Linked DNA regions of Danio rerio. The protein of the gene in region 3 purifies or fractionates together with the protein of the main gene of each other region. This does not show direct contact. Links are inferred from orthologs where the notes say so. Each region holds a gene or a part of one and is shown on either strand. Other genes may lie near its edges. The genes, in order: anapc1, amotl2a, lats2 and sav1.

Region 1 (7,440 bases), on a different chromosome or scaffold from region 3:
GTGAAAATAAGGGATATGCCCACCATAATAAGCTCCTATATAAATCCCCAAATGACTAAATATGCTCATTTGGAGCTGTTTCATTGCAAGTAAACAGTAAATGGTCAGTAATATGTTTTATTATTATTATTATTTACAAAAGAAAAAATAAATATATACATTAGAGGCAAATACATTAGCAAACAGTTCAGCTTATTAAGATAGATAGCTGTTATAATGACATAGAATCAAGCTATTAAATCTCATTAGCCTTTTCTCCACTGTATAACTTACACATTATGATTAAAGAGCAACAAATGAATCTCTCGTTTATTTAGATTTTTTAGATTGATTACATTAAATAACAGGTGTCACTTTAAAAATGCACACATCTAACGATATAATGAAGGCATTCGACTGCTTTTTATGCTCATTTAGGACTAAATTAGTTGTTTAAAAAAAAAAAAACACCAAGATCGACATCTTTAGATATTAATATTAAATATGTGTATATGCCTGTTTAAACACGCACCCAAAATCCAGACTTTCGCTCCGCTTCAAATCGCGTGTGCAGAATCCGTTTGGGAAACAGCGTCTATTTATCACTATGGAGCGCGTCAGCTGACAGTCACGCACCGCTATACGACTGTTTTGAAGATTGCATAGGAGGGGGACGGCACCTGTAGTGAAAAGGAAGGGGAATCGCGCCGTTTTTATATGATTTTCAAAGTGTTTTCTTGCCTAAACAAAGTGAAACAACAGAACAGGCTCACATTTAGGAGCAAAGGGCGGCCCTTGGTGGTGTGGCGGTATGGGTTGCTTATAGGGAGGCACGCCTCTTTAATGTTTCTTGCCACTCTTCAGAGAAACAATGAAAATATGGGAGAAATACGGGATAATACCTTTACAGGATGATAGCAAAATAGAACTGTAAAATATGGGAGAATCCGGGGAAAAACGGGAGGGTTTACATGTATGCCTATAGCGCATGTCTTTGGACTTGTAAGGGGAAACCGGAGCACACAGTATGTCTGATAATATTTTTTTCTTCTGGAGAAAATCTTGTTTGTTTTATTTTGGCTAGAATATCAGCAGTTTTACATTTTTTAAAACCATTTTTAGGTCAAAAAGATTTGCCCATTTAAGCTATATATTTATTTGTCTACAGAACAAACCATCATTATACAATAACTTGCCTGATTACCCTAACCTGCCTACTTAACCCAATTAACCTAGTTAAGCCTTTAAATGTCACTTTAAGCTGTATAGAAGTGTCTTAAAAATATCTAGTCAAATATTATTTACTGTCATCATGGTGAAGATAAAACAAATCAGTTATTAGAAATGAGTTATTAAAACTGTTATGTTTAGAAATGTGTTGAAAATATCTTCTCTCCGTTAAACAGTAATTTGAGAAAAAAAATAAGCAGGGTTGCTAATAATTCTGACTTCAACTGTACCTAATAATGAAGAAAAAGCAGCGGACGCAGTATTATTGTGCCTGCTGCAGTCATAGTACAGCAACAAAATTTGATAATGATTACGCTAGAATCAGAGTATAGTTTCTAGACATATCAACCTAGAAAATAGCAACTTTACGTTTTCCATCAGTTTAGTATACGTTGAAACTACAGAAGTCAAGCTTTAAATAGGAAAATTATCAAAACTCCTTGCTAATTTTTGAGCAAGATGCAAATGGTCTAATCCGATTATATGATCTATGCTAAGCTAAGCTAAAAGTGCTCCCACCAGAGCTGAAGATCGGGTGAATGAATCAAAAAAGGATAAAATTGTCCTGAGGAGCTGTAAAATAAGCCTAGTTTCCCTAAAAAAAGTGCAGTGTACCTTTAAGAATGAACATTTTTGCTCAACTTAAAGTGTTTTTGCCTTTTAGCATTATTATGATTTTGCATAATCATTGCATAATCAGTGACAATAATTTCTGTAACAATATATTGCACAACAAAATTATTCATCGTGACTGACTAGCCTGATTTAATCGAACCCCTAAAGATTTGATCAAAATATGATGAATGATAAAGTGCAGATCTCACAAACACACACAAATGCAGTAATGAAGCGCCTGGAAGCCATACAGTACACTTTTTAAGATGAGAATGGCTGATTTCCTGGTGCTTGTCAGAGTGAATTGCTACACAAAGTGACACAATATGAAACCTTTCAGCATTTAAACCTGATCCAATTTAACAGATATTGCATGTGTAAAAAAAGCCCCTAAATTTGGCTGCCACTAAAATTCCCCCTCAAAACTGACAAACCCAAACCACACAAGGTACACTTTATCAAAACCATTTCCTCAAGTCATATTTATTGACTGAATTATCGTAGGTACAAATAGTTACAAGCTATTTACATAGGGGTGAGCAAACCTGTGAGCATCCGATCTCATCGATGTCATAACAACTTCATGCAATAAAAAGTTGATGTAAGATGCTGTAGCAAGTTCCTGTAAGTTGATGGTTTTTGAGGACAGTGATGACCCTGCAGTACCTGCTCGAGGAGATGAAGTGGTCGGAAGGAGTGCGGTTAAACGCCAGAGTCGTGATTTTGCAGGAGTAAAGGACTCAATCGTAGAAGAGCTCGAATGGGAACACCCAACTGACTGCTCTTGAGGAGCAGCTCTGGAAAACTGGAACATCCTAAACACAATGAGCAGAAATATAATGTTATTGCATGTTAACAATGGAGACGATAACCAGCGTTCGAGAAACTGATCTAAATTCATCAATATTGTACCTTGAATCGATGGATCTAGGCTGTTTTTTTAACAGCAGATGGCGCTCTAGGCTAGTTTTTAACAGCAGACAATGCTCGAGGCTAGTTTTTAACAGCAGGCGTCTATCTAGGCTAGTTTTATCAACAGATGGCACTCTAGGCTAATTTTTAACAGCAGACGGCGTCTAGGCTAGTTTTTAACAGCGGATGCCGCTCTAGGCTTGTTTTTAATAGCAGACGGTGCTCTAGGCTAGTTTTAATAGCGGACATCACTCTAGGCTAGTTTAAACCGCAGACGTTGCTCTAGGCTAGTTGTAATAGCAGACAAAGCTTTAGGGCTAGTTTAAACAGCAGACGTCACTCTAGGTTAGTTTTAAACAGCAGACGATGCTCTAGGCTGGTTTTTAACAGCAGACGTCTATCTAGGCTAGTTTTTAACAGCAGACGTCTATCTAGGCTATTTTTATCAACAGAGGGTGCACTAGGGCTACTTTAAACAGCAGACGTTGCTCTAGGTTAGTTTTAATAGCAGACAGCTCTCTAGGCTAGTTTAAACAGCAGACGTCGCTATAGGCTAGTTTTAATAGCGGACGTCGCTCTAGGCTAGTTTAAACAGCAGACGATTACGCTAATTTAACAGCAGATGTCGCTCTAGGCTAGTTTTAATAACAGACGTCGTTCTAGGCTTGTTTTTAATAGCAGACATTGTTCTGGGCTAGTTTTAATAGCGGACATCACTCTAGGCTAGTTTAAACAGCAGATGTTGCTCTAAGCTAGTTTTAATAGCAATATAGGTTAGTTTTTAACAGCAGATGGCAATCTAGGTTTGTTTTACCAAAAGAGATGTGCTCTAGGCAAGTTTTTTTTACCAGCATATGTCATTCTAGGCTTGTTTGCAAGTGCTCTAAGCTAGTTTTTAATAGCAGATAGTGCTCTAGGCTAGTTTATTTTAACAGCAGATAATGCTCTATGCTAGTTTTTAAATGCTCTAAGCTAGTTTTTTTTTAACATCCAATGGCCTCTAGGCTAGTTTTTAATCAGCAGACGGCACTCTTGGCTAGTGTTTAACAGCAAACAGTGCTCGAGGCTAGATTTTAACAACAGATGGTACACGCTAGGCTAGTTTTAACAGCAGACAACACTAGGCTGTTTTTAAATGGCAGATGCTGCTCTAGGCTAGATTTTTTTAAATGGCAGATGACGCTCTAGGCTAGCTTTTAACAGCATATGACGCTCTAAGCTAGTTTTTAAACAGCAGATGATGCTCTAGGCGAGTTTTTAAACAGCAGGTGACGCTCTAGGCTAGTTTTTAAACAGCAGACAACGCTCTAGGCTAGTTTTTTAACAGCAGATGGCGCTCTAGGCTAGTTTTTAAATGGCAGATGACGCTTTAGGCTAGTTTTTAAACAGCAGACAACGCTCTAGGCTAGTTTTTAAACAGCAAACGGCTTCTAGGCTAGTTTTTAAACAGCAGAATGCGCTCTACGCTAGTTTTTAAACAGCAGATGGCGCTCTAGGCTAGTTTTTAAACAGCAGATGACGCTCTAGGCTAGTTTTTAACAACAGAAGACGCTCTAGGCCAGTTTTAACAGCAGATGGCGCTTTAGGCTAGTTTCAAACAGCAGATGATGCTCTAGGCTAGTTTTAAACAGCAGATGGCGCTTTAGGCCAGTTATTAAACAGCAGATGATGCTTTAGGCTAGTTTTTAAAAAGCAGATGACGCTCTAGGCTAGTTTTTAAACAGCAGATGGCGCTCTAGGCTAGTTTTTAAACAGCAGATGGCGCTTTAGGCCAGTTATTAAACAGCAGATGATGCTTTAGGCTAGTTTTTAAAAAGCAGATGACGCTCTAGGCTAGTTTTTAAACAGCAGATGGCGCTCTAGGCTAGTTTTTAAACAGCAGATGGCGCTCTAGGCTAATTTTTAAACAGCAGATGATGCTCTAGGCTAGTTGTTAACAGACGATGTCGCTCTAGGCAAGTTTTTAAAAAGCAGATGACGCTCTAGGCTAGTTGTTAACAGCCGATGGTGCTGTAGTCTAGTTTTTAAACAGCAGATTGCGCTCTAGGCTAGTTTTTAAACAGCAGATGGCGCTCTAGGCTAGTTTTTAAACAGCAGATGATTCTCTACGCTAGTTTTTAACAGACAATGGCGCTCTAGTCAAGTTTTTAAACAGCAGATGATCCTCTAGGCTAGTTGTTAACAGACAATGGCGCTCTAGGCAAGTTTTTAAACAGCAGATGACGCTCTAGACTAGTTGTAAACAGCCGATGTCGCTCTAGGCAAGTTTTTAAACGGCAGATGACGCTCTAGGCTAGTTGTTAACAGCCGATGGTGCTGTAGTCTAGTTTTTAAACAGCAGATTGCGCTCTAGGCTAGTTTTTAAACAGCAGATGGCACTCTAGGCTAGTTTTTAAACAGCAGATGATCCTCTAGGCTAGTTGTTAACAGACGATGTCGCTCTAGGCAAGTTTTTAAAAAGCAGATGACGCTCTAGGCTAGTTGTTAACAGCCGATGGTGCTGTAGTCTAGTTTTTAAACAGCAGATTGCGCTCTAGGCTAGTTTTTAAACAGCAGATGGCGCTCTAGGCTAGTTTTTAAACAGCAGATGATTCTCTACGCTAGTTTTTAACAGACAATGGCGCTCTAGTCAAGTTTTTAAACAGCAGATGATCCTCTAGGCTAGTTGTTAACAGACAATGGCGCTCTAGGCAAGTTTTTAAACAGCAGATGACGCTCTAGACTAGTTGTAAACAGCCGATGTCGCTCTAGGCAAGTTTTTAAACGGCAGATGACGCTCTAGGCTAGTTGTTAACAGCCGATGGTGCTGTAGTCTAGTTTTTAAACAGCAGATTGCGCTCTAGGCTAGTTTTTAAACAGCAGATGGCACTCTAGGCTAGTTTTTAAACAGCAGATGATCCTCTAGGCTAGTTGTTAACAGACAATGGTGCTCTAGGCAAGTTTTTAAACAGCAGATGACGCTCTAGGCTAGTTGTTAACAGCCGATGGCACAGTAGGCTAGTTTTTAACAGCAGATGATGCTATAAGTTGGTATAAGGCGCTCTAGTCTTAAGTGTTCTAGAGGCTAGTGTTTAATCGTACACTCAAATGTGCACATGTGGAAAAGTGCTTGTGCAAGTCATGTAATTTGCATTTTTTGCCTCATGAGAGTAATGTCATTAGAATACTTGTAGTTCACTTAAACCTTTCCTAACTTTTACGTTCATAGTTTAAGTGTAAGGAATAGAATGCTAACAGAGTGCAGTTGTTTGTAAAGCATACATATTTGCTGTTAAAAGCTCAAAATTGAAATATATGGTTGAATTACTTTCAAAGTAAATTATTTAAAGTATTAGTAAAGTGTTTAAAGGAAAAAACGGCAAAATTTTGCAGAGTATAAAACATAATCAGCGTATGCTGGTGTGGTTACTAATACAGTGCTTGTTTTAGTTTTGATGTCAACAAGTCTTTGAAGAGATAAAAGATCAAGAAAGCTTTCTGCGAAATATTTCCCAACATACAGATCAGAAATGATACACAAGTTGCTCCAAAAAAACCACCTGACTTTATTTCTTTTGCAGAAGCAGAAGAGGTAAAAAGGTCAAAATCCTCATGCAACAATATAAAGCCCACAACAACAGAATGTCATTTCGATGAATATGTAAATGTGCTTGTGTATTCGATTTCATTTAAAGTAAAACTGCCTTAAAGGGATAGTTCACCCTAAAATGAAATACACTGACATTTATTCTAAAGAACGTTAGAAACCTGTAACCACTGACTTCCATAGAAAGAAAACAAATGCTATGGGAGTCACTAGTTAGAGGTTTCTTTAGAATATCTTTATTTGTGTGTGTGTTCAACAGAGGGAAGAGCCATTAAGGGAGAGTAAATTTAAATTTTGGGGTGAACTATCCCTTTAAAAGCAGGTTATATGAGTTTTGCACAATATTTTACATTATCTAAAGACATAGGATTGCTTTATATTTTCTTTAGAGCTTCAACGGCTAAGTTTCCACCTGAAGTTGAGAATAAAACTTAAAATATTGCAGAAAATATTAGAGAATACACACTCTTGTAATGCGTAACAATAAACACAATGTGTACAAGACTTGCAATGCAAGCATATGAACATATACTTTAAATAAGTAATGTGCAGTTATACAGTGCATTTATTGCATACAATTTTGTGAGGGGATGTCAGCACACCATCATCATCAATATTTAAAAATGTAAAAATATTATATATGGGTATGTATGTATATACACCTACCAGCCACTTTATTGGGTACACCCGTCTAACTGCTAGTTATTGCAAATTTCTAATCAGCCAATCACATGGCAGCAACTCAATGCATTTAAGTAGACATGGTCAAGACGATCTGCTGCTGTTCAAACCGAGCATCAGAATGTGGAAGAAGGGGATTTAAGTGACTTTAAACGTAGGTAGTAGCATGATTATTGGTGCCAGACCAGCCGGTCTGAGTATTTCAGAAACTGCTCATCTACTGGGATTTCCATGCACAACCATCTCTAGGGTTTACAGAGAATGGCCTGAAGATAAAAAAATCCCGTAAACGGCAGATCTGTGGGAGCAAATGCCTTGTTGACGCCAGAGGTCAGAGGAGAATTGCCAGACTGGTTCCATCTGATAGAAATACATAGGGATGTAACGGTATCAGAATTTCACGGTACGGTAATACCTCGGTATGAATGGCACGGTAC
Region 2 (7,769 bases), on a different chromosome or scaffold from region 3:
ATTTCGTCCTATTACTCCATTCTGCACACTTTACAAACTAAATGTCACACAATCAGCAGCAAAACTCATAAATACAATATAACATAAACATATACAATGTGTTTATAAGCACTTAAGTTTTGTGGTAGCTTTAGAGTAGAGTACTGTCCAAGTACCTCACATTCAGACCATACATCCACAGTCTAGGTTCAGTCACCAGCTGTCAAGGGGAGCTCAGCTCTCCTTCACCAAAGATCCACCATTCATTCTTCTCACATCCTGATGCACAAACTCAAAATCAGCTTCAATGGCGAGTTCCCTATTGAACCAAGCACAGCTTCTCTTGATTAGGTTGGTCCTCAGATGGAGACCCAAGAAGAATCTTCTGTGCCTGAGAGCAGCAGGCAGCAACATGCTGGACATTGTTAATCTCAGATGAGGATCTCCACCATGTCATTTTCGACGGCACTGCTGATCTGGGTTGTCTTGAGAGAGGTTGATTCTGTAATATAATGTAAGACTGTCAGCTTTCTTTGTTCATGCCTGAACAGCAAACAAGGTGGGAAGCTATACAAAACATAAACTATGTTTTGTTTGAGTCCTCTCCCCAACCGCTATTTTGACATAGTGTTTCAAGTTACACTTTAACTACTCTGGTTCAAAAGGGCAAGTATGCACCATCATTATAAAAGTTCTAACCATCAAGGGTTGTCTTTGTCACATGATATGCATAATAGATTTGCCAAGTTATGGGTCTACCAAATAATGTGGGATGAGTGAAAATGGCATGAGCTTACACACCAGAGCTAGAAGCAGTGGAAGGTTCTGGAGCAGATACAGCAACATCAGCAGGTTCTGCTTTACAGCTGGGCTCTTCTGAATCACACTGTGTGCTGCTGTCTCGACACTGGATTTTGGCAAGCAGATGGGGCAATGGGGGCAAAGATGCGACTGCTGTCTGGTCATCTGATAGGCTCTTCCCTGAAATTGCAGATAGAAAAGGAAGCAGTTTAATTACATGTTCCAATATAGGCATGCCGCCATGCAAACATTTGCCATCCAGAAAACTCCCTTTACTATTATTGTGAATCTATTCTTGAGGACAGGAATACCAAAATGCATTCCATTTCACAAGAAGTAGACTATTTCAAGAACACCAGCTAGTCACAGCACTCATTTTATTTTGGTTGGCACATTCCTCCTTGGCGACATTACATAGCCACTAAGAAAAGAAGCTTCCAGTTGTCCAGCTGAAAGTGTATGTCACAGAAGTGCAGCGTTGGCTCACAGTTTTCAGTCTTGCTCTTTAAATACAATCCTAATTAAACACACCTGAACCAGTTAATTCTGGTCCAGATAGGCTGAAGCCAAGCTGTGCAGGACTTCCAGTGGCAGGTCTGTACATCACCTGGCCCGTAACTACTTTGCTCACCTTTGGCTCGGGTGGTGCTAGCTGTGGCAACGGTGTTGATGGAGGGAACAGATCGAGCAGGTCGTAAGCCTTGTAACTCAGGTCGGCCTTGCTCTCGTCTTGACCGCTGCTGCATGACCTTTATAATGGCATCCTTCTCCAAGAGTTGAGCATAAAGTGCCCGAATCCTGTTAAAACATGGACTACTTTGAGATACAAAACATCAAAACTATAGGAAACTAATTTTTCTAGCAAATACAGACTTTCTAGAATAGGATAGAGAATGTAAATGGTGGACATACCGGTTTTCCATCTCCTGATGCCTGTGGTTGGGGGACGGCAAATCCTCATTGAAGCTGCTGTTGGGTGAATTGCGGGGTGAATGGTTGATGATTGTGGTATCCCTGGAAAGAGAATTATGGTTGATGCAAGAGTTGAGCAATAAATTAAAAAGAGTACTATTTTTTGACTATGGCATCTCTTCCACTTGTGCTTTTACTCACCTCTGAGCTGCGGCAGTAGCAGCAGCATCCATGGCAAACTGACGCATTGTGCTCTCCTCAAGATACTTCTGCTCCCAGCGGGTGATGTCAGCCTCCAGGGCCAAAACCTGCTCCTCTCTCTCCCTCAGTTGCTGCTGTAGTGATGATACATTAAGGTCCAAGTATGACCCTGGGCTTGCATGCTGGGTTTTGGCCTGCCACTGAAAGAGAAATAGTGGTTTACTTTTCAATCCCAAATTGTTGATTCTTATTGAACAGAAGTTGTCTGTTTTTTCTTTTACCTGCTGTGCTCTCAAACTCTTCAGCTCCTGCTCCAGTCTGGTCCTAAGTCGTAACTCCAGAGCTTCCCTCTTCTCACATGCTGCCTGCAATTGCGCCAATGCACTCTGCATCCTTTCCACCTTCTCCACATAAGCTCTCTTCCTACGTAACTCTTCTTCCAGCTGCCTATTTCGTGTCTGAGCTGTGATAAGTGCTTGCTCCAAGGCTTCACGACGCCTCTTCCATTCTTCTCCTGAAGCCCTTAGATGCTGTGTCTCTTTTTCCAGACGTTCCCGCTCTCGAAGATGGTCCTCATCTATGGAAAAAAAAAAAGAGACACACAAAATGAGAACCATGTACCATGACAACTTACTACAGTAAAGGTACAAGAACATTCAATGCTATTCAGTCATTATGCTTCTCACACAGGCCACAAAATGAATGACCATGCAGTAGGACTGGGGTGTGCCCATAGCATTCTCTGGGCTGTTCTCTCATTCTAACCAATTCTCAAGGGATAAGCTTCCCACAAGAGTCTGGAACAAAAGAGGCATGCTTGATTTACACACGTCTGTCTGGGTTTGCAGGGGAGTGGCCAAGTTTCCCTGTGTCCTTTGACCTACACTGCAGACTGCTTTAGAATTCCCAGATTACAAAAGCGATTCACTGAATTCCCATTTGGGATGCCAAATTCCTCAAACCCTTTAAGATGACTTGGCACACTGAAAAGGACATACTAAAATCCAACTCATAATTAGACAGGAATCAGTTTTCCATTCTCCTTCTGCTCTGATTATACAACCCAAAACAAATGCCACTGGATGGAATGCAGGCTTCCACTTATCCACTTACACACACAGGCAAGTCTTTGTACCAACTGGATCTCTGGAATGCCTCTGAGCCATGCAGTAAACAAGTAAAGCAAATAGCTGCAAAAGGTCATTAAGCGTAACGTTAACCTACACGTTGTTCTAAGCCTTCAGAGATGCTGAATCATGTCTTTGACGTATCTATGTGTTAGCTCAAAAGGAAATTTTAAACACCTTACAATATCACTGTTTTTTATTCACAAAGCAAAGATATGCCTTGACTCAGACTTTTCTGTTTTTTTGTTTTTAACCCCAGACTGGGGGTAGATTAAAATCATACTTCTTTCCTTGGGGGAACAACAGTCATTTTATTAGAATCCAACCAAATACTGAACAACAACAATCCCTATTAGGATTAGCAAAACAAATCCAGTTTACTCTAACACAGATTGGAATTCTTTAGCATTAATTTGCCCAAAAATGGAGAGACAGCGCACAGGGCACCAGAAAAGGGTCTCTATGGCCTCAGTGGCTGAAATAGTGGGGGAGCTGTTAGGAAGCATTCCAGGAGGACGGAATATCCCAAAATACCTGTAAATATTCCAGGAATCCAGGTCATATTTATTTACAGTGTTAATAATGGTTGCGGGTCAAATTCCAAAAGCAACTATATCAGATGAAGAATATAGAATGTGCTTAACCAGGTACTGGACCCTACATTACATAGACTTTTTAAATACATTTATTTATTTATGTTGCCTAAATACAACAAAGCACTCTGTCAAGAAACATTTCAATGATGAACACATTATTAATTATTAATGGAATGCATCGTTAAGCCAACAATATAAATATGAAAGAATGCAGTGGGAACAGCTGGGATTGTTTCATGGTTGACCGCACATTGGGAGAAGGATAATTTATAGAGAAGCAAAGGGGAATTCTTACTTTGCTCAACCAGTTTGGCGAAGGCATGCCGACTCTTGTCTTCAACTTCAATGGCTGCTCTCTGTTTGTTGGCTGTTTCCAGGCGGTCTAATGAGGGAGTCAACAATTAGTATTTATTGCCTCATACCAAAACATGCAACTCATTTATAAGACAATTACTCAGCTATGCGAACCATCTTACCCCTGAGATCTCTGTTAAAGTCATGAAGTCGCTTGATCTCACTCTCTAGCTTGTTCCTCATGGTTTTCTCAAGGGCTTCTCTCTTTGCAGATCCCTTCATAAGAGTCTCATAGGCCTCCGATATCCTCTGAATCTCCTGTTCAAGCTGAAAGAGAGAAGAAAGGCATGTTAACATCCAATTTATACCCATCAGTTCCTGGTCTCTTTTAACAGGAGATTCACAGGAGGTTGGAAATACTCCTAAGAATATAATTTAGTGTCAAGCAGAAGAACTAACAGGATACAGATTTTCAACAACATGAGGGCAAGTATAAGACACTTTTTCTTTTTCGGCTGGCACAGTAGTGTTTCATAAACCCAAACGTAATAAAACAAGGAGCCGCAAGAGCAAGAATGGAAAAAAATACAAACAAAAATTTGAGATAAAAAGGGAAGGAGGGAAGAATGTGCTTGGCTGGGGCTCTCTGTGGTGCTTGCCCACTAGTGAATCACTCTCACAGAGCTCCTCAGGGACTGGGAATTGAATCAACATTCCAAAAAGAACACTTATGAGTCCCAGGTGTCCGCACATTCATCTCCCTACAGGGCAGGATGCCAAAGGCGAATACAGGGAACAAAGGAAATGTGCAAGCTGGAGGAATACCATTCAGAGAGACTGGAACAGTCCACAATATATGCACCTGTATGACATTTATGACATGGAAAATGGGATGAGAAAGCGATCGTCCAAAAGGAACAAAATTTTCCAAATAAACAAATATGGAAGCTTACAAAACCCCACCACTGATTTATTTTTATAATTTCTTCCCTTTTCTGGATTTTATTTTTAACTTAAAAACTACATATATGCAACCTACATGTGTAGGTTCACAAGCAGGTCAAAAGGTGCCGTGTGGAGCTCTGTTCAAGAGTGAAAGTGAAAGGGGCCATTGAATCAGGGAATCCACAGCTGTGAGACCTTGTGATTGCGCTTTGCAGCCCAGTCCATCAGCTGTGGGCTAGCCAAAGCCCCTTCTTCATTCTCGGACACGAAGATGAGCCAAGACATCTGCTCCTATTGGAATCCCATTGGAATCCTAACAAAGAGGGCCACAGGAAAAACCCAGCGAGGCCCCCTTCCCCTTTAAAGTTGACTGGGATTTCAAATTTGGTAGTTTGTATGATAGTGGCTTAATGTTCATGAATCAGTGTTTTAGGATAGAATATTTTAAGAACATAGTTTTTAATCCAAGCACCATGTATGGACTGAATTCCACTGAAACTCAATCTAGCTTTTGCCACTGAACGACACACAATAGGCCCAATAAACTTTAGCAAAACAAACACCAAGATAAGCTTGTTTTTCCCCCTTGCTCTGCCATAACACTTTGGTATTTCAGTGATGACATTATCACATTACAGAAAAATGCATGGCATTTTAGGCATGGGTAAATTCAGTGTTGTTTCGCATGCTAAATAAGTTACTGGGAATTTTCACTCAGTGACCAAGAATGTGTCCTTTTCAAATTAAATTGAAGTCCTTGTGATCCTCTCCCTTGCATGCATTCCTACACGGCAAGAGAGCTAATCTTCTTAGAATGCAGAGGCTAGAAGACACCAGCGCACAATGATTTCTTGTTCTCACTCTTTGTAGGTCATGTCTGAGTTCACAATCAAAGGACACAGCTGCCTTTTTGCATCCTTGGCAAAATGTGAGGTCATACCAAAAACATCACAGTTCTAGAAGGTTGCAAGGAAGTTGCAATCACACAAAGAATCCTGTTACCTTCTGTAACCTTGCCGCCTTCTCACTGTAGCTGTCCACTTCTCTTTTCAGTCTTTCGTTCTCTTTAATAAGCTGCTCCATTTGGAAGTTGTTCGCTGGGATGCTGTATCCTCCAACATTGACATCCTGGCCAGCAGGGGTCAATGTGGGCAGGCCATTGTGACGAGGTGCTTGTGGCTGTGTTGGAAATAGCCTGAGAGAGACAAAAATAAACATTAGAACACCCATGATGTTCATATAGAGTGTACAGTATATACAATGCGACCAAAATATAATTTTACCTGTAATGCTGTGAATGGAAGGCAGGAGGGGGCTCATTATAATAGTGTCCATGTTCCTGTGAATGACTAAGCATATATCCAGGGGATCTGACCATGAAGGGGTACTCCGGGGGAGGACCCCGTTGGTCTGGCTGATGAACTGACTGCTCATTCACAACTGAATCAGAGTGGTTATTAGAGAGTTGGGGATAACTATGCGATGAGCTCATGGGAATATTGTCATGGGCACAATTTCTCTCTAGTGAGAGTTGCAAAAGACGCTCACTTAGTGAGCGTGCATGCTCTCGTTTCGCATCCCACATGCTGTCGTCCTGTTCGGCTCCTCCAACCCCTCCAGGGCTCTCCAGACTGCCGTGATGAAGCCCTATCTGTCCTCTCTGGTAGGCAAGATACTGTGAGTGTGCCTTTGCTTCCTCATAAGTAGGCAGCTCCTCTGTGTGGAGCTGATAAAGGTGACAAACAGGACTCTCTGAATGCTGGAAGTCACCCTGGTGCTCTTGGCCCTGGGGCTCTTGCCGGGCGGACAACTGGGGAGAAAGTGATTCCTCTTGTGTTAGGCTTTCCAAGGATGAACGAGGGCTTCCTGCACCTCCACCGCTGCTGCCTCCACGCAGAGCCTGCTGCTGGATGGCTAACAGAGTAGGATCGGTAGGGTTTCCATAACGAAGCTGCTCTTGAATCAGTCGGTGCAGCACCGTTCCTGATGATTCCTCTGCCGTTCTCATTTCAGTCTATGTTTAACAGACAGCAATCAGTGATACTGTGTTATGAAAGATCTTCTAGACTGTGAACCTGCATAAAAAAATAAATATTTCAAATGCAAATCCTTTCTATTGTTCAGCTATATTGAAACACTCTCTAACAACAAACCAGTGAGTGGTGCCTCACTCCACATGCTTCTAGGCTGACTGCCTTTACCCATAGCAACACCACGTTCACCCAAAATACCAATGGCACCATCCTACAACACCCACTATGAGCTGGGTTTCTGCTCAAGTTTATACTATTGATTAGCATAGGAAGCAATGGAAAATTCAGTTAGAATCCAACAACTTTCCAAAGTTGCACAAATTATTTCCTGCTACAAACTACAAATTCCTATCCAGTGTATCATATTTGTTTTACAACCACAACTGTAGTAAAACATTCGAACATACCAAAGAAGCATGAAAACAAGATTTGAAATAAACGTTTAGTTCCTCATTCTATTAGTGTACTTTAAAGAATGTACAACTAAAGTATTATAAATTCTTCCAGAACAAATGCACCAAAACAAAGTTGGCTTCTGCCTATAAACAAAGCCCTTCCATGCACACACTGCAGTTTATTTAATGAGTAAACGTTTAGCCACAATAACAAACCCATCGCTCTTATAGAAAACTAAGCAATGTGCCATATAAAGAGTTCGTTTACAACAACAAGCTGCGTTAGAAGTCTTTAAAAAACTCACCGAGTCACAGTGGCATCACGAATAAAAGTTACAATGCTTTTCCGTACTCGTCTCTATGTTTAAAGATATAATCCTTCTGGAAATGTGTTGAGTACGACTTATATTTCCATGCGTATGTTCGTGCGTGCGCGCCTGGAGAGCTTCTCCAGCAGACTGAGCTCAGAGCGGGAGGGGCTCTGCT
Region 3 (7,977 bases):
AGTACCAGGTTGGACTCCCTTTTACCTTCAGAACTGCCTTAATCCTTCATGGCATAAATTTAACAAGGTACTGGAAATATTCCTCAGATATTTTGGTCCATATTGACATGATATTGACATTTGTCGGCTGCTCATCCAGGATGCTAATCTCCTTTTTCAACACATCCCAAAGGTGCTCTATTGGATTGAGTTCTGTTGACTGTGGAGGCCAGTCAAGAAACCAGTCTGAGATGATTCACGCTTTATAACATGCTCAATTGGTACTAATGGGCCCAAAGTGTGCCAAGAAAATATCCCCCACACCATTACACCACCACCACCAGCCATTGATACAAGATGGATCCATGCTTTTATGTTGTTGATGCAAAATTCTGACCCAACCATCTGAATGTCGCAGCAGAAATCAAGACTTACCAAACCAGGCAACGTTTCTCAAATCTTCTATTGTCTAATTTTGGTGAGCCTGTGCCAATTATAGCCTCAGTTTCCTGTTCTTAGCTGACAAGGGAGTCGCCCGGTGTGGTCTTCTGCTGCTATAGCCCGTTTGCCTCAAGGGTGGACATGTTGTGCATTAAGAGATGCTCTTTTGTGTACCTCAGTTGTAACTAGTGGTTATTTGAGTTACTGTTGCCATTCTCCTCTGACCTACACTGAGTGCCCGCCATGTGATTGGCTGATTAGAAATTTGTGTTACAAGCAGTTGGAAAGGTGTACCTAATAAAGGGGCCAGTGAGTGTGCATGCACATGCGCTCTTCAATCTGAAAAAGGTATATTTTTTGTGAAAAGGTTAATGGTGGAAATAAATGGTTTAATTAAAAAATGCTCTTGTGTGTGTCTCATCAGCTAAAAATATCTTGGGTGTGTCCCAAACACATCTACACACAAACAGACAGAGACGTGCACACGCTCACCCGCATGCACACACTCACACACACAGACTCAAAACAAGAGAATGATTTGTTTAATTTAATTTAGACATATACATTTACACATGAAGACAGCAAAAGCATTTCTTAAACATTCTCAATTCATACATATGTGTAAAAAAATGAGATAAATCCAAATGCATACTGTCTGTAATACTGTAGACACAAGGGTTCAAAAGTTAGCTCAGAAAAGAGGAAAAATAAGGATAAAAGAATACAAAAAATATGTATATCTGTATAAATATGTTCAATAGTAACAGTATTGTATAATACAGTTAAAGGTTACGTCAAAAAGTCCCAACCCATTCATTCCTTAAAATACAAAAACATACATTAGAGGAAAAAAGTTCCATCATCACACAGCTCCAAACACAGTCAAAGATTGTCAGTCAACATTTTCAAAAGTAAAACAAAGAATCCATCCTCAGCACAACACACGCATTACATTCAAACCCTAAACCTGACTCTGTGAGAGATTCGTAGAAAGCTCATGCCTTTTCACTGAGTGGTCCAATCTGACAAATACAGGGAAGCAAAGCATCTGCAACACTTGCTGTCACACTCCATTCTACTCTGATTGAACCAAAAACATGATGACAATTTAGGTACAAGTCTGAATTGAATATATTTTTAGGAATTTATGTGACTTTTAGGAGTGAGCAATATATAAAAGCGGATCATCACTGGCTGTTACTTTAAAACTCATCCAGTCAGACGTCATACAGGGTAGTTTGACTGACTTCAATCAAGCTTCACTACAAATGATTAAACATTATTATATGGACTTATTAGGGATCCTTATCACTGACCAATCACATACAATGTGTTTCCATATCCACCATGCTACGACATCCAAATACATCTCCTTCAGAGTCTCAATGACAATCATTCACTCTTTTTTTCGTCTTTCTCCAGCTATCATCCAAATGCCGCCTCTTACGTTCAGGACCGGCCTGAGTGCAAGAAATGACGGCATTTCCATTCTTTCCAGAAATACTGATCAGCACGTGGTAAACACACCCACACATTCATTAGAAGGCACACAGTTCGTCTTACATCGGATCAATCACACTGACAATCAAAACCACACTTTTTACACAAAGAGAAAGTATAATTGAAAGGTTGATGATAATATAGTGTAATATTAATAACAATAAGCAGCATTGGGTCATGAAACTATATTGAAAATAGATATAAATCAATAGAATATATACTTTTAGATAGCATAATTCAGTTTTGAAGTTATAAAGGCTATTTGTTGTATTTAGAAAACTATATAATGTATTTCTGTATTGCACATAGTTATACCATCAGATACATTTTTCTTTTGTAACTATCTTTCACCATTTTCGTTAAAGTTTTTGCCTCAAAGTATTTTTTACATTTCAGTCATAGACTGTCTTGTTGTAATACTGTGCTGTGTGAGCAGCCTTGATGACAAAACATCTTGCAATTGTTTGATTACATTTGTGAGTGTGTGTGTGTGTATAATAAAATAAGTTCACTGATAGTGACAGACAAGATCATTTCCAGTGGATCTGGATAAGCAAGAACACACACAACAAAACCACCCGTCTGACTTTTAAGATCTTCTTATGAAACTAAATGCAATTAAGATGAGGTGGGAAATATGATACATTTTCTGAGATAAAAAAACAGAGTTACTTGTGATGAAAGGCGTATAATCTTTTTGCATAACTAGAAAAGGATATAGCTGTAGCCTCAGCTCTTGGAGTTAATTTATATAATTTGTTCCGGATAGCCAACTGCAGCGGTCTGAGAAAACACACTTCAAAACAAAACGATGTGTCTTGCAAGTGTTAGATACACACGCAAGCAGCTGATGAATGTAAGCAGCTATTGGGAACGAAATCATTAAGCCTTAAAACAATGAAACTATTTAAATCAAGCCAGGCAAGGTAAATGCTTGTTGAATTTAAATACCACCTGAATGAAACAGCAACTGATATAACACAACTAAGCAAAAATAACTAATTTTAAAACTGCAATGCAACTGGTAAGCAAACATTAAGCAGGATTTAGGCCTTTTAATATTCACAATTTAAGAGTGTTAATTACCTCTTACATTTTCATATTGTGAATGATATTTTCATATCATATCCGTTTTTTTGTGGCATTATGTATTTAATGACTATACTTATGCTTAGCCTCAGCTCTCAAGTAACAGGCGGTTGTTTAGACAATTGAAGTATGTTTTAAAAACCTTTAATAATTGTAATAATGGGAGTTTTAAGATCCCATGTCCATGAAGTGCTGCCTGTACATCAAAACATTTTATTTTAATATTGTGTCATGACTGAGAGCACCGTTAGGCATGAAACATAAATGAAGGATAACTGTATTATATTTACAAAAGACTATTTTATTAATTAATTAATAATTTATTGTCATTATTAATTATTAACTGCAAAATCCTGCATGGTCTTTTGGACAGACTTTGCATGAAGAAGTGACCTAATACTGTCAGTCCATAATATAGGACTTACATCTTCGAAAAGAAGACACTTGACAATGTCACTCTGAACCACTTGGTGGCGCCACAAAATCCTCTAAAACAAAGTTTGCTCGCTTTAAAAAAAGACTGAGATCATATAATTCCAAATCTGGCTTCAATACCGCAGAAAAAAATAGGTTTTACAGCACATTTATGGATTTATAGCTATAAAATTCAGTTTGGTATTATGAACTTTTAAAAATAAACCACAGAGCTACCATCCCAAGCCAAGCACTCTTGTAATCCTTCACCATAAACTCTCGGGTGTTTGGAATGTTAGCATCACCAGGTTGAGAGAGGTGAGGGATGTGTTAACATATGACGTAAGACTGGGACTCTTTCTCCCAGTGGAATAAAAGAATAGGACACGGTTGACACACAACACACTAACCATGAGTAGAGTGGTTTAAACGTCAAACCACAGACCAACAGCTACACATCTCTGTTTTTGTGCTCTCATAGAAGAGTATCAGTCACATCAACGTCCATATGCAGCTGCAGGTCTTGTGTATTTCCTTGGTCCCAGGTCAGAGCTTCAGTCATTTTTAAATGATACTGCATAATGGTTTATGGGAATAAACACATTTTACTTGGAACTTTCTGCACTAAATTTCTGATGTTCTTCCAAGCATTTCAGGCAACACCCTGAAGAAAAAATAGTGTTGAAAGGAAGTAGAGAAGATGCAGCGTGTTAACTGGTGAGGTCCTCCATGGGTAAAGGCAGAGCAGCATGAACAACCAATCCAACGTTTTCACACATAAACCGGCTCACACCCTTCCCCTTGCTCTTCCTCTTCATGGGCCTCTTCCTCCTCCAGCTCAGGCTTCAGGCTGCCGGCCCCGTCACTGCTGGACAGGCTTTGTGTCGCCTCTAGGGGTTTGGGATAACGGAATGGACAACCATTATCATCAAAAAATCTTCGGAAAGTAAACTCATAGAAGGCATGTTCAGGGTGTTTGCCGTGAGGAGAACAGAGGGTGTCCCAAGTGCGGGTGCTATCCCCACTATCACTCCAGGCGCCTGGGCCTCCCTCCTCTTCAACAGGATCAAAGTTGGATGTATCCATGGGGTGGGCAATTTTTGGTCGATATGGTGCAGGTTGTGTCCGAAGATTGCTGGAGAAATCCACCTCGGAAAAAAAAGGATGAGCCTTTATTTCTCCAGCCCCATTGCCTCCTAGACGCTCTTCAGCAGAGCAGCAAAGCTGGCCAATAATATCGACTGCCTCTGGGCTTAGTTTTACTTGTGGTGGCACTTGCAAAGTGTTCTCCCAGTTTATCACCTGTAGAGGTAGTGACATCAACAAAAGTTTATTTCTTGTCATCAAAACTCTTAACCTCAAATATTATAAAATATTATTTAAAGAAAACAAAGATGTGCAGTCCTTTTTCCTGCATGGGCACTGTCTTGCCTAATTGAATCACCTATTCAAGTTTTCAGGATTACTAGAAATTTCCAAGTATGTTGGGGTTGGTTGGAACTCTGTATGATACTTGCCCTCCAGGAGCAGGATCAACTAAAAACATGCATACAGAACTCTTACCTTAAGCTGCGTCTCTGTTGGGGTTGGAGCAAGAAAGGGTGGTTGGCCAACCAGCATCTCAAACAGGATCACTCCCACACTCCACCAGTCGCACAGCTGTGTGTATCCTGTGTATTAAAATTAATTAAAAGGAGCAATTAAAAAGAAAAAGGTTCTATAGGCACTAGCAATTCTTTGTAATGTCCTTGTACTTCCGAGTGACTATGTGAATATTCTTACCTTTGCGCAAAAGCACCTCAGGGGCAATGTAGTTAGGGGTGCCCACCAAAGAATGCGCCAGGCAGCGCTGGTGTTGTCGAGTTGCTCTCTGTTCCAAAGTCATCAGCCGGTCACCACAACGGCAATTAGACACATCATCCCAAAAGTCACTTGGCTCCATGCTATCCTGTCGGATATGGTTCCCTATTCAAGCAGTGCAAAGAGAGAAGGCAACCAATTCATTGGATTTAATAAACACTGCAACAGCATTAAGGACTTTTTAAAGGCTATAAGCATCACCTTCTCTTACCTTTTTGGTAATACTTTGAGTTGTGAGTCCATCGGAACCCCGTACATAGACCAAAATCAGTCAGTTTGATGTGTCCATCCAGGTCAATGAGGATATTGTCTGGCTTGATATCTCTGTGGATGAAACCCATCTTATGCACACTCTCAATTGCCAGTGTCAGTTCTGCCACATAAAACCTGGCTAAGACCTCTGGAAAAACTCCCATACGGATCAGCAAGCTCATCATATCTCCTCCAGGAATGTAATCCATGACAAAATACAGATTGTCTCGGTCTTGAAATGAATAGTACAACCTGACTACCCACTCATTGTCAGCCTCTGCTAAAATGTCCCGTTCAGCTTTAACATGGGCTACTTGATTTCGGTTAAGAACGTCTTTCTTTCGCAAAGTCTTCATTGCATACAAGGCTCCTGTGTCTACTTTTCGGGTTAGACACACCTCACCAAAGGCCCCAATGCCGAGTGTCTTGATTTTGACAAACATTGATTTGTCCATCTTGGCACGTCGTAGTCGATTGTAATTGGATTCCTTCTGGTAAAGCATCTTTCTCATCTGTTCCTGCTCAGCCTCTGAAAGGCCAGCCTAAAATAATGAAAGAGATTGTTAGAGGGGACTCAGTTGAAAACAAACAAAAAATATACCCTTTTATGGATAACTCAAAGAGTTAACAACTCAATTATACAAATTATAAAGTAAACGGTGTTCTTTGTGATAAACAGTTCCAGCATAGCTTACCTTGGACATCTCTTGCTCCAGCTGCATTCTGCGATTAAGTTTCTGCTGGTATGTCTTCATCACATTCTCCACATGTTGCTCCATGTAGAACTTAAAGGCAAATGGAGAATAACTCTTAATACGAGACTCCCTCTTCTCTTCATCACGGGCATTTTTTCGTACAGGCACAGGTGATGTCTGGATCTGCTTCTTATCCTTCACAGCCTTTTCTCCTTTGCCCATTTTCACTTTGTCTTTGAAGATGGATTCCTCCTGCTTTCCTACCGAGGAACTCTGGATAGTCCTACCTGTGGCACTGACATCTTGAAGTCCACTCATGGCTACAGGCTCTAAGGATGCAGGCTCAGGTCCAGATCCAGACACAAGCAGTGTTTTGGGGTAAGGTGGAGGTGGGCATCGATGTTCTTGACTGGGTTCCAGGGTAAAATTCTCATCTGGGATGTATCCAAGAGAATCCTGTGCTTCCGGGGATTGTGCACTCAGCCACCCTGGATGGCATGGTCCCACTGCTGTCTTCGGCTCAGGCCTCATGACCCGTATACTCTTAACAGGTGGCTGAATTGGTGGAGAGGTCACTGCAGTTATTGTGTTAGGTGGGCCCAAAGATGACTCTGGCTTCCCAGCAACACTAGCTGTTGGGGGCAATGTCTGCCTCACAGTCACCTTTTGGTGGTTGTTGAAAGAATTGGTCCGACTGGGGACGCGTACCTCCCCTCTGAAGGGCCCTTGTGGCTGCCTGGCTGGAGGAGTCCCCTCAGGACCTTGAGCTCCTGGCCAGTGATGCTCATACAGGTCAAGATTTAAACTGGCCCTGGAAGGGGTGAGAAGGCCTTGAGGAACATCAGAGAACTCCCCACCCATAGCTCCAGGGGCAACACCTGGGGGGCGCTGCATCATGTGAACCTGGTGTGAGGTGGGGCTAGCTTGGCGTGGATGTGAATGTGGTGGCAGATATAAGTTGGGAGCATAGCCACCAGCATTTTGGCCCATTGCTGCTTTGCTTGGCATATTGACATAATTTTCTGTAGTTAGTTGGGGCATCTTATTCTGAAAGGAAGCACTTCTTTTGACCCCGTAGCTGGAATTCTCCATCATATGCGACCTGTAGTCATAATGTGCTCCAGGCCCTCCTGAGGGCTGAGACTGGATTTGCATGGGTGGTCCAGACACACTGTACCCCATCATGGCCTGGTCAATCCCACTAGGGTATCCTTTTTGCTGGGCTGGACCAGGGGTGTACATTGGATTCCCAGTATTATTTTGAGGAGCCATGTTTGTGGAGTAAGCACCCATACTTGCAGGGCGTCCCATCGGGTTTCCCATGGTAGCACCCTGTGAAGGGTTGGCAGGCGGTGGCATGTAGTTCATGACAGGTGGTCCACCCATGTATGCCCGAGCCATTTCACCCTCAGCCCCATAACTAGCTCCCTCATACAATGGTGCTCCCATTTGATGATAAGGGGGAAGTGCACCATCCCCACTGCCTTCCATTGCTGTCCTGTGGTCCATCAAATTTGGCATGCCACTTTTTCCTATAGGAAATATTAATAGGTTCAAATACAGAACATAATTCAAGTCATATCATAGGTATAGTGAGTGTGCTTTAGTATTGTCTTGCCTGGGGAAGTCTGTTTGATGACACGTACAATCTGTTCAGTGTGAGGATCAAGGTAACTCATTTTGCTAATGTATTCCAATGCTGCCTCGATGTTACGGCTACCAGTCTGTTTCAGGGCACGCACTGCCA
Region 4 (8,481 bases), on a different chromosome or scaffold from region 3:
GCCTCCTCCCCGCTCATGGTCGTCAGATTACCCACTGACTTTGCTGGCACTCGGCCAATTGCTAGAAAGAAAAAAAAACCCACACATTCAGGAAAGTATTACAAATATGTGTGGAAAATGCTTCTAGAATGAGCTATTATAAGTTTGAATGAAAAAGGAGGTGGAGTGAAATGAAAGAGAGACGAAGAGCAAACAGCAAGTCGCAGCTGCAGATATTAAGCTAAAACCCCCAGTAGACTTTCAAAAGTTCAGCACAAAGAAAAAAACACATACGCACACACACACACACACACACATCATCACAGGGTGAAGGAAAGGGCAAACAACAAATGTACATTTCTCTCAGTCTCACAGATCATGAGAAACTGCAACAGAATAACAGTGGAGAAAATGTGTGTGTAATGTATATTGTAGGACAAGAAAAAAAATGAGATTTTCTGGTCATAAAAAAAAAAAAAAATTAGCAATCATTTCAACCTACCTCTTATTTTAGACTTTAGCAAGGCTTTAAATTTTGTAAGATTGTTGAATTTTCTATTAGCCGATTTTTAACATTTCTATTAGAACATTTTTGAGTGATGCAAATAAGTTTTTTGTATTTCTACATCCCATAATTATTCATTCATTTTCTTTCCGGCTTAGTCCCTTTATTAATCTGGGGTCGCCACAGCGGAATGAACCACCAACTTATCCAGCATATGTTTTACGCAGCCGATGCCCTTCCAGCCACAACCTATTACTAGGAAACACCCATACACTCCTATTCATACACTATGGACAATTTAGCTTACCCAATTCACCTATAGCGCATGTCTTTGGACTTGTGGGGGAAACCAGAGTACCTGGAGAAAACCCACGCAAACAAAGGGAGAACAAGTCCACACAAAAATGCCACGACAATCATGCCAACCACTGCACCACTGTGACACCCTAACATAATATATGCAGGTAAATATTGTTTTTTCTTTTAATTTTGATTAAACTTTACATGATTTCAAATTATATTTATTAAAATATTTTTGATCTAATTTATTAACCAGTAAGCTTTCTCTCACAGTCTCATGTTCAAACAAAGAATAAAGATTTAATATTATTAAGTATAGAGTATGACTATTAGGTGTATATATGACCTTACACAAATTGTGAAGATTTTGTTAAAAGAAAAGCAGACATCATTGGCAGGCATGCACGCATCCTCTCATTAGTAAACAAACAGTGCGTCAGCTCATGTGCGATTTCGCAGCCACAAATTTGTCATTACAAGATGACAAATGACATTTTTGGGTGAAATATACCTTATAAATACTGTATGTGACAATTTTAACACCATTTGGAGGTGTCAATGTTGCTGAGCAATGTATATACAACAATGTGAAGACTTGTGCGACCACTTTTATACTTCTGTCCTGACCATGAAAATATGATTGGCTAAATTGTAAAAAAGCTTAATTAAGATCGGGTGTAGGGTCGAATAAAGATCTATCAATAGAGAGCTATCTTTTTTGGTTAATTGTGCAGCTCTAACTCCTATTGTATTTGTTCCCCCAATTTGTTGCTGACATTCTCTCAAATATCTTCCTTTATGTGGATTCTTGCACTGGCAAACCATTTTGGCTTTATAAGACATCAACGTATTGTCAGAAGCCACAGTTATTATTTTGTTGAACCTGTATATGGTTTGTTTGACTCCCAAAATGCTGGTAGCCACTGAATTGCATTTTATGAATTACTAAAAGCACAAATGTTTCAAAAACAAATCTTCATTAACATTTTCCTGAAGAAAAGAAGTAATCTGATCAAATGTCATCTTATTATGTTATTTAAAAAAAAACAAGAGAATGCAATATATTTAACAGAAACAATCTCTAAACTTTTACATTCAGTTGAAGTCAGAATTATTAGCCCCTCTTTGAATTTTCTTTACTTTTTAAATATTTTCCAAATTATGTTTAACAGAGCAAGGACATTTTGAAAATATGTTTGATAATATTTTTTCTTCTGGAGGAAGTCTTATTTGCTTTATTTCGGCAAGAATAAAAGCAGTTTTTAATTTTTAAAAAGCCATTTTGAGGGTCAAAATTATTAGCCCCTTGAAGCAATTTTTTTTGATAGTCTAAAGAACAAACCATTGTTATACAATAACTTGCCTAATTACTCTAACCTGCCTAATTAACCTAGTTAAGCCTTTAAATATAACTTTAAGCTGTATAGAAGTGTCCTGAAAAATATCTAGTAAAATATTATTTATAGTCATCATGGCAGAAATAAAATAAATCAATTATTAGAAATTAGTTATTAAAACTATTGTGTTTAGAAATGTGTTGAAAACATCTCTGCGTTAAACAGAAATTGGGGAAAAAAATAAACAGGGGGCTAATAATTCAGGGGGCTAATAATTCTGACTTGAACTGTATATTCATTCATTCATTCATTCATTTTCCATCATCTTAGTCCCTTATTTATCAGGGGTCACCTGAGCGGAATGAACCACCAACTTTTCTGGCATATATTTTACGCAGCGGATTTCCTTTCAACTGCAACTTGGGAAACACCCATACACACTCACATTTACACACCGATTGGACTTCGGGGGAAACTGGAGCACGTGGAGGAAACCCACGCAAACACAAGGAGAACATGCAAACTCTACACAGAAATGCCAACTGGCCCAGCTAGGATTCAAACCAGCAACCTTCTTGCTGTGAGGTGACAGTGTTTCCACTGAGCCACCAATTTTACATAAAATCCCTCTTTTTTTATATTATTCGGCTGAAAAAGAAAGTGAATCTATGTTCAGTCAGAGGAACCTGAAGAATCTCATCCAGTAAACAGCAAATGTTCTCGTAAACACAGCAAACGTCAGTGTATTTATAGTAAAGAGTGACAATCATGTTTGTTACTCCATGCAGAGTCTATTATAATGCGTGCAAGTCTGTGCATGTGATGTGTAAATGCACACCAGTTCAAAAGTAACTCACCAGGTGGAGGGCGGCTGTGTGGCTGAGGCGTCTGGGGCTGTCCTGGGTTTCGTGGGAAGTTGAGTTCATTGTGGTCATAGTATCTGTAGTTCTCATTAAAGTGGTCTGGTCTGCGTGCTCGTCTGGGTTGGTTATTGTAGTATGGTTCTGGAGGATAGTAATACGGGCCGTTGTCTCCGTTCTCTGTTACAGAACTGGCATCGCTGATGTAGGATGGTGAGGAAGGGGAGTAATCACGATGAAGATGTGGCGGGGCAGACAGACGGTGACTCTCTCTGCGTGAAACCTCTAGCGGGGTCCGTGGAGGAGCATTGCGCAGGAAACTCTTAGGGCCGCTAACATCTCCAACAGATCCAGTGGTGTACGGACCGGGACCGGGACCAGGCACACCAGCCGAAACCGGCTCCACTAATGGAGGTTCGCGTCGAAGGAACGTTGGATGGCGGATAAATGAGGGCATCAAATCTGAGAACAAACAATGGGGGGAAACCTGGAGTAAGTGGATCAATGCATACTTTAAGGGATAGTTCACTCTAAAATAAAACATCTGTCATTATTACTCATCATTTGTCCAATCCCATATGAAAATCTTTGTTTTCCTGAACACAAATCAGGCCTGTAGCCAAGGGGGGTTTGGGTGGTTCAAAAGACAAACCTGCTACTGACAAAGTCCAAAATTTGACCCCCAAATGAGCTAATTTATCCCATTTTCACTGCTATGTTATCATAAATTGTGAAAATTATACACAGAAGAAGTCTTTAAGACTTAAATAATTTTAATAAAGTATTTATTTTAATAAAGTATTTATTTGCCCACAGGCTATAGTTTTTATTTTAAAACAAGTTTTACCAGATTCCTATTTTTTTAATGATGGATGATAATAAATTTGTATGTTAAACACTAATCTCATAACACTATTTATAAAACTGGATTAACTTACAATTTATATCCAAGCTTGTAAATAAACACTTCGTAGTAAAATACTATGGTGGGCACTTTGGACAAAATTGTAGTAAATATTTTTTTGTGCATCAAAATAGTGTGGTTATGATTACCATCCATCAAGCTGATCCAGCAAAGATTAGTTCTTAAAAAGTCACTAAAACGCATAATTGAATAGAAAATGAGGAAAATAACTGCAAAAAAGGTCAAATTTTCATTAAAAAGTACCACTCGTTTCAATAGGCTGGCGACAGGTCTGCAAATGAATGTATTTGGAAGAATGTCAGTAACTAAACAGATCTCGTAGCATATTTACACCCATTATGTTTACTTTTCCAATTTTTTCCTGACATTCTTTTAAATATCTTCCTTTGTGTGGATTAAAAACATTTAAATAATGTTCAGTTTCTTGCACTAGGAGATTATTTCAGCTTCATACAGTAAGATATCAGTGTATCGTCAGAAGCCAAAGGTATTAATTTTATTTTGTCTGTATATTGTTTTTTTTATTTTTTTATTCTCAAAGTGATGGTGGACCTTTTATTAGCATTTTATGATTTTCAGCTAAAAATCTTCTTTAATGTTTTCCTGAAGAAATAAAGTCTACTTAAAGATCATCAAGTGGCCTGAGAGTAACATAAAAGCTATACCTTTAAATTTCCGATATAGGTTTATAATATTACACTAAAAATGTCTAGAATAAGATACTAAACAAACATACAAGACAATTTTTAAGCATATAGATTTTCTAAACTACAATTATTTTCCATGTCTTCTAAACATCACTTTAAACACATTTCAAGATAAAACATAAAATTGAAGATAGTCTGATTTCTACAAAACACATTTGTTAACATCTTGCTGTTTTGATTACTGACTGATGAATTAGTCTCTCTTTTGATGCCATTCAATTATGCCGTTTTGACAATTTGATCCGAAATTTGGCAACAAATACAATGACAGTATTACCATATTGAACAATTATGTTTAATAATATACTGTGTTACTGCTGTGTGAAGATTTCCGAAATTTCAGTCAGTTTAAAAATAATTATTAGCAAAATATTAAGGTGTTCTTTAAAGAATAATTTTCTTAAACTGGGTAACGTTAAAGCAACAACATTCTACTTCTGGACCTTTGTATTTAAAGTAAATAAAAAGATATGACATTTTAAACTAATGACAACATATGCTAGTGGTAAGTGAAAATGGTTTTAGATTAAAGTATTAAATATGAGCAATGCCACATTATCTTTTGATTAATTCAAAACGTATAAACAGGACTATAATAATACAGGTCTATTAGGTTGATAGTTGTGACTGTACACATTGTGCTGGCTAATTGTTAAAGAGAATTATGTTACTTATTGAAAGCCTTATGCACTTAAAATTGTGTTTTACTCTCAGGGTTCTGATTTCAAACACGGTGTAATGACTACATTATATAACAATGTAGGATATTTAGTTTGCCATTTTTATATTTTGGGGATTTGTTTGGCAGATTGACTAAAATTACTCACTTCTCAGAAGAGGGGACGTTTCTTTCTTCACATATTTGCCCTGAACTTCGGGTGGTTTGGACGCTTCGTTTTTACTCTTCTTTCTGGAGAGCATTGTTAATCCGAATCGACTCTGGACCGATTAGACTTCGGTTTCATCCTGAAATCCGGATCCAGGTTGGCACTGACACGCGAAACCGAGTCCATTTCGGAGCGTTTAGCCCGATAGCTAATTTGGAGTCATCATGGCTACAGTCTGAAAACAAGCACAAAACTGGCCATTCGTTTGCGTTTAGTGGACGTTTGGCAGTTTTCGGTGTTTAGTCGAACATTACGAACTCTTTCCGACGATTAAATAACGTTAGTCTCCCCCGAGCGCTGTCCAAACAACACCCAGAGAAAAGCGCACGAAAACTTTTACCAGCTGAATGTCCAACCCAACCCAGCCCTCCACATCTCCTGCTGATCCCTGATCAGCTCTTACTGGATCTCGCGCCGCAGCCTGATCTCAGGTCAGTTGTTTAGACCCGAGCCTCACTTCAGATCAGCATACTTTATAGTCGGATTCAGTAATGTTTATTAGTCACTCTAAAAGAGTCCACATATTTCAATAATACCAGTTTACCCGCGCCCATAAGTGTCTTTAACCGCCTGATCCTAGATCAACTCTCTCTGGATCGCTCCCTCACCTTACCCTGATCCTAGATCAGATCTGCCGCAAGCCAGATCCTCAGGGAGCAAAGCATTGTGGGAAATATTTGACTCGAACTTTTTTTCTAGCACATATTTAAGGTTTACAGGACAGATATGCGATGGTTTATTTAACATGTAAGGTTAATTTGAAGGATAAAAGTGCTGCGTTGTCAGATAAATGTACAAAATAGGACCTAAAACCCCACAAATGAATGAATTTTCTTTTTTGAACAAACATTTTTTGAGAAACCTTCAGAGAAATCAAGTGACCCCATGGCCAAGCCCAGTGTCTCTGTATTTACCATTTACGTGTTTGAGTAAAACACACTATTTGTTTATTTTGGAACCTGATTACTTTTTATTTTTAAATTTAAAATGTTATTTATAATGGGCTTCACGGTGGCTCAGTGGTTAGCTTTGTCGCCTCACAGTAAAAAGGTTGCTGGTTTGAGCTCTGGGCCAGTTGGCATTTCTGTGTGGAGTTTGTATGTTCTCCCCGTGTTGGCGTGGGTTACCTCCAGGTGCTCCGGTTTCCCTCACCGTCCAAAAACATGCGGTACAGGTGAATTGAATAATGGCTGTAGTGTATCAGTGTAAATGTGAGTGTATGGGTGTTTCCAAGAGCTGATTTGCGGCTGGAAGGGCATCCGCTGCGTAACATTTGCTGGATAAGTTGGCGGTTCATTCTGCTGTGGCAAACCTTGATAATTAAAAGGACTAAGCAGAAGTAAAGGGAATAAATATAATTTAGAGAATTTTTAAATATATATATTTTAAATATTCATTTTTAAATACCAAAGTTTTAATCTCAAAACATATTTGATAGAATAACTCTGATTTTAATTAACAGCAAATTAACACATTTGTAATACTGGCAAAGTAATTTTTAGTTGATTTACATTTTTACGTTATCAAATAGGCCTACACAAATAAATATTTATTTATTTTAACTTTGGAATAAATGTCAAATGTATCTTACAGAATAAAATATTAGCATTTTACTCAAACACAAACTAATAAATCCTAACATATATATTTTTAAAAGATCTCTATATATTTATATAGGCAGCACGGTGTTGCAGTGGGTAGCACAATCGCCTCAGCAAGAAAGTCGGTGGTTTGAATCCTGGCTAGGTCAGTTGGCTTTTCTGTGTAGAGTTTGCATGTTGTCCCTGTGTTTGCGTGGGTTTCCTCTGGGTGCTCCGGTTTCCCCCACAAGTCCAAAGACATGGTACAGGTGAATTGGGTAAGCTGTACTGTTCGTAGTGAATGGGTGTGTATGGATGTTTCCCAGTGATGGGTTGCAGCAGGAAGGGCATCCACTGCGCAAAACATATGCAGAATAAGTTGGCAGTTCATTCCGCTGTGGCGACCCCAGATTAATAAAGGGACTAAGCCGAAAAGAAAACGAATGAATGAATGAATATATATATTTATATAAACATAAAACAATGCTAGAGAAATTAGTAATTTAGTAAACACATGTTCACATAAATAAAGAAGCAACTCAGAAGTATCATGCACTTTTAGTGTTTAATTGGTGCTTTTTTCAAAAGAGTAACTTGGTAACACTTTATAATAACGGTCCATTAGTTAATATATTTACTGTAATTAGGTATGAATAATCTTGTACAGCATTTATTAAGCACATTAACTAATACATTAATAAAATCCAACGTGGTGCTTGTTAACATTAGTTAGTTAACATGAACTAACGTTATTTAATTTGTAAAACATTAATTGACCAAGATGAATAAATACAGTAATAAATGTATTGAATTGTTTGTTCATGTTAGTAAATACATTGACTAACAAATGGACCTTTATTTTAAAGTGTTACCAATGAATTCTAAAATGAAAACTCATGTACGGTGCTTACTAAAACTATTCTTTAATGAAGATAAAAACAATTATGCTTCAACATTCAAATGTCATACAATCAACACTTAAAACAATACATCATTTACATGACAAATACTGTAAAGCATATATAGTTTAAGCTTCACCAAAGGCTTTGTTACAATGCTAAAAATGTAAGGACAACATATTTCAGTGCAATTTCGACATTTTTAAATGCCTGTAATTCTTTGTACATTTTCCCCTCCAAGCATCAAAGCTGGTAAACTGCACTCGCTGAGAGACGCCTGAAATGAAACATCATAACCAGCAATTTTCCTCTCCGCACACAAATTATACAGCGGTAACCATGAGGCTGACGTCTCCGATCTCAAGGTTTCTTTTACTCCGCATAAATATTTGAATACACCCGCTATTATTCATATTCACAGTGCTCATCACACACGATTATGGTTCAAATATGAAAAATAGGAACACAAAGATCTCCTGCACTTAAAGTCATGTCATGGGAT

The links.
Region 1: the proteins of lats2 (region 3) and anapc1 purify together in Homo sapiens (affinity purification with mass spectrometry; 3 studies listed by BioGRID and IntAct, with this or other methods). This does not show direct contact. The link is inferred for Danio rerio from reciprocal best matches to the Homo sapiens genes LATS2 and ANAPC1.
Region 2: the proteins of lats2 (region 3) and amotl2a purify together in Homo sapiens (affinity purification with western blotting; 3 studies listed by BioGRID). This does not show direct contact. The link is inferred for Danio rerio from reciprocal best matches to the Homo sapiens genes LATS2 and AMOTL2.
Region 4: the proteins of lats2 (region 3) and sav1 purify together in Homo sapiens (affinity purification with western blotting; 4 studies listed by BioGRID, with this or other methods). This does not show direct contact. The link is inferred for Danio rerio from reciprocal best matches to the Homo sapiens genes LATS2 and SAV1.

Annotation. Positions count from the first base shown.
Region 1 is NC_133188.1:50,864,280-50,871,719, reverse strand, and holds the end of anapc1 (anaphase-promoting complex subunit 1), read right to left. Parts: intron 2,640-7,440; coding exon 2,527-2,639; 3' UTR 2,292-2,526; downstream 1-2,291. UniProt on the Homo sapiens protein: Component of the anaphase promoting complex/cyclosome (APC/C), a cell cycle-regulated E3 ubiquitin ligase that controls progression through mitosis and the G1 phase of the cell cycle.
Region 2 is NC_133181.1:30,491,485-30,499,253, reverse strand, and holds the start of amotl2a (angiomotin-like 2a), read right to left. Parts: upstream 7,744-7,769; 5' UTR 7,589-7,743; intron 6,931-7,588; exon of another isoform or gene 6,870-6,930; 5' UTR 6,864-6,869; coding exon 6,139-6,863; intron 6,051-6,138; coding exon 5,858-6,050; intron 4,238-5,857; coding exon 4,093-4,237; intron 3,999-4,092; coding exon 3,912-3,998; intron 2,471-3,911; coding exon 2,175-2,470; intron 2,094-2,174; coding exon 1,894-2,093; intron 1,795-1,893; coding exon 1,693-1,794; intron 1,579-1,692; coding exon 1,412-1,578; intron 961-1,411; coding exon 781-960; intron 482-780; coding exon 411-481; 3' UTR 1-410. UniProt on the Homo sapiens protein: Regulates the translocation of phosphorylated SRC to peripheral cell-matrix adhesion sites. Required for proper architecture of actin filaments.
Region 3 is NC_133184.1:22,910,941-22,918,917, reverse strand, and holds the end of lats2 (serine/threonine-protein kinase LATS2), read right to left. Parts: coding exon 7,849-7,977; intron 7,763-7,848; coding exon 6,231-7,762; intron 6,078-6,230; coding exon 5,495-6,077; intron 5,389-5,494; coding exon 5,206-5,388; intron 5,094-5,205; coding exon 4,987-5,093; intron 4,726-4,986; coding exon 4,195-4,725; 3' UTR 949-4,194; downstream 1-948. UniProt on the Homo sapiens protein: Negative regulator of YAP1 in the Hippo signaling pathway that plays a pivotal role in organ size control and tumor suppression by restricting proliferation and promoting apoptosis.
Region 4 is NC_133188.1:40,258,569-40,267,049, forward strand, and holds the start of sav1 (protein salvador homolog 1), read right to left. Parts: upstream 5,859-8,481; 5' UTR 5,535-5,858; coding exon 5,441-5,534; intron 3,444-5,440; coding exon 2,979-3,443; intron 62-2,978; coding exon 1-61. UniProt on the Homo sapiens protein: Regulator of STK3/MST2 and STK4/MST1 in the Hippo signaling pathway which plays a pivotal role in organ size control and tumor suppression by restricting proliferation and promoting apoptosis.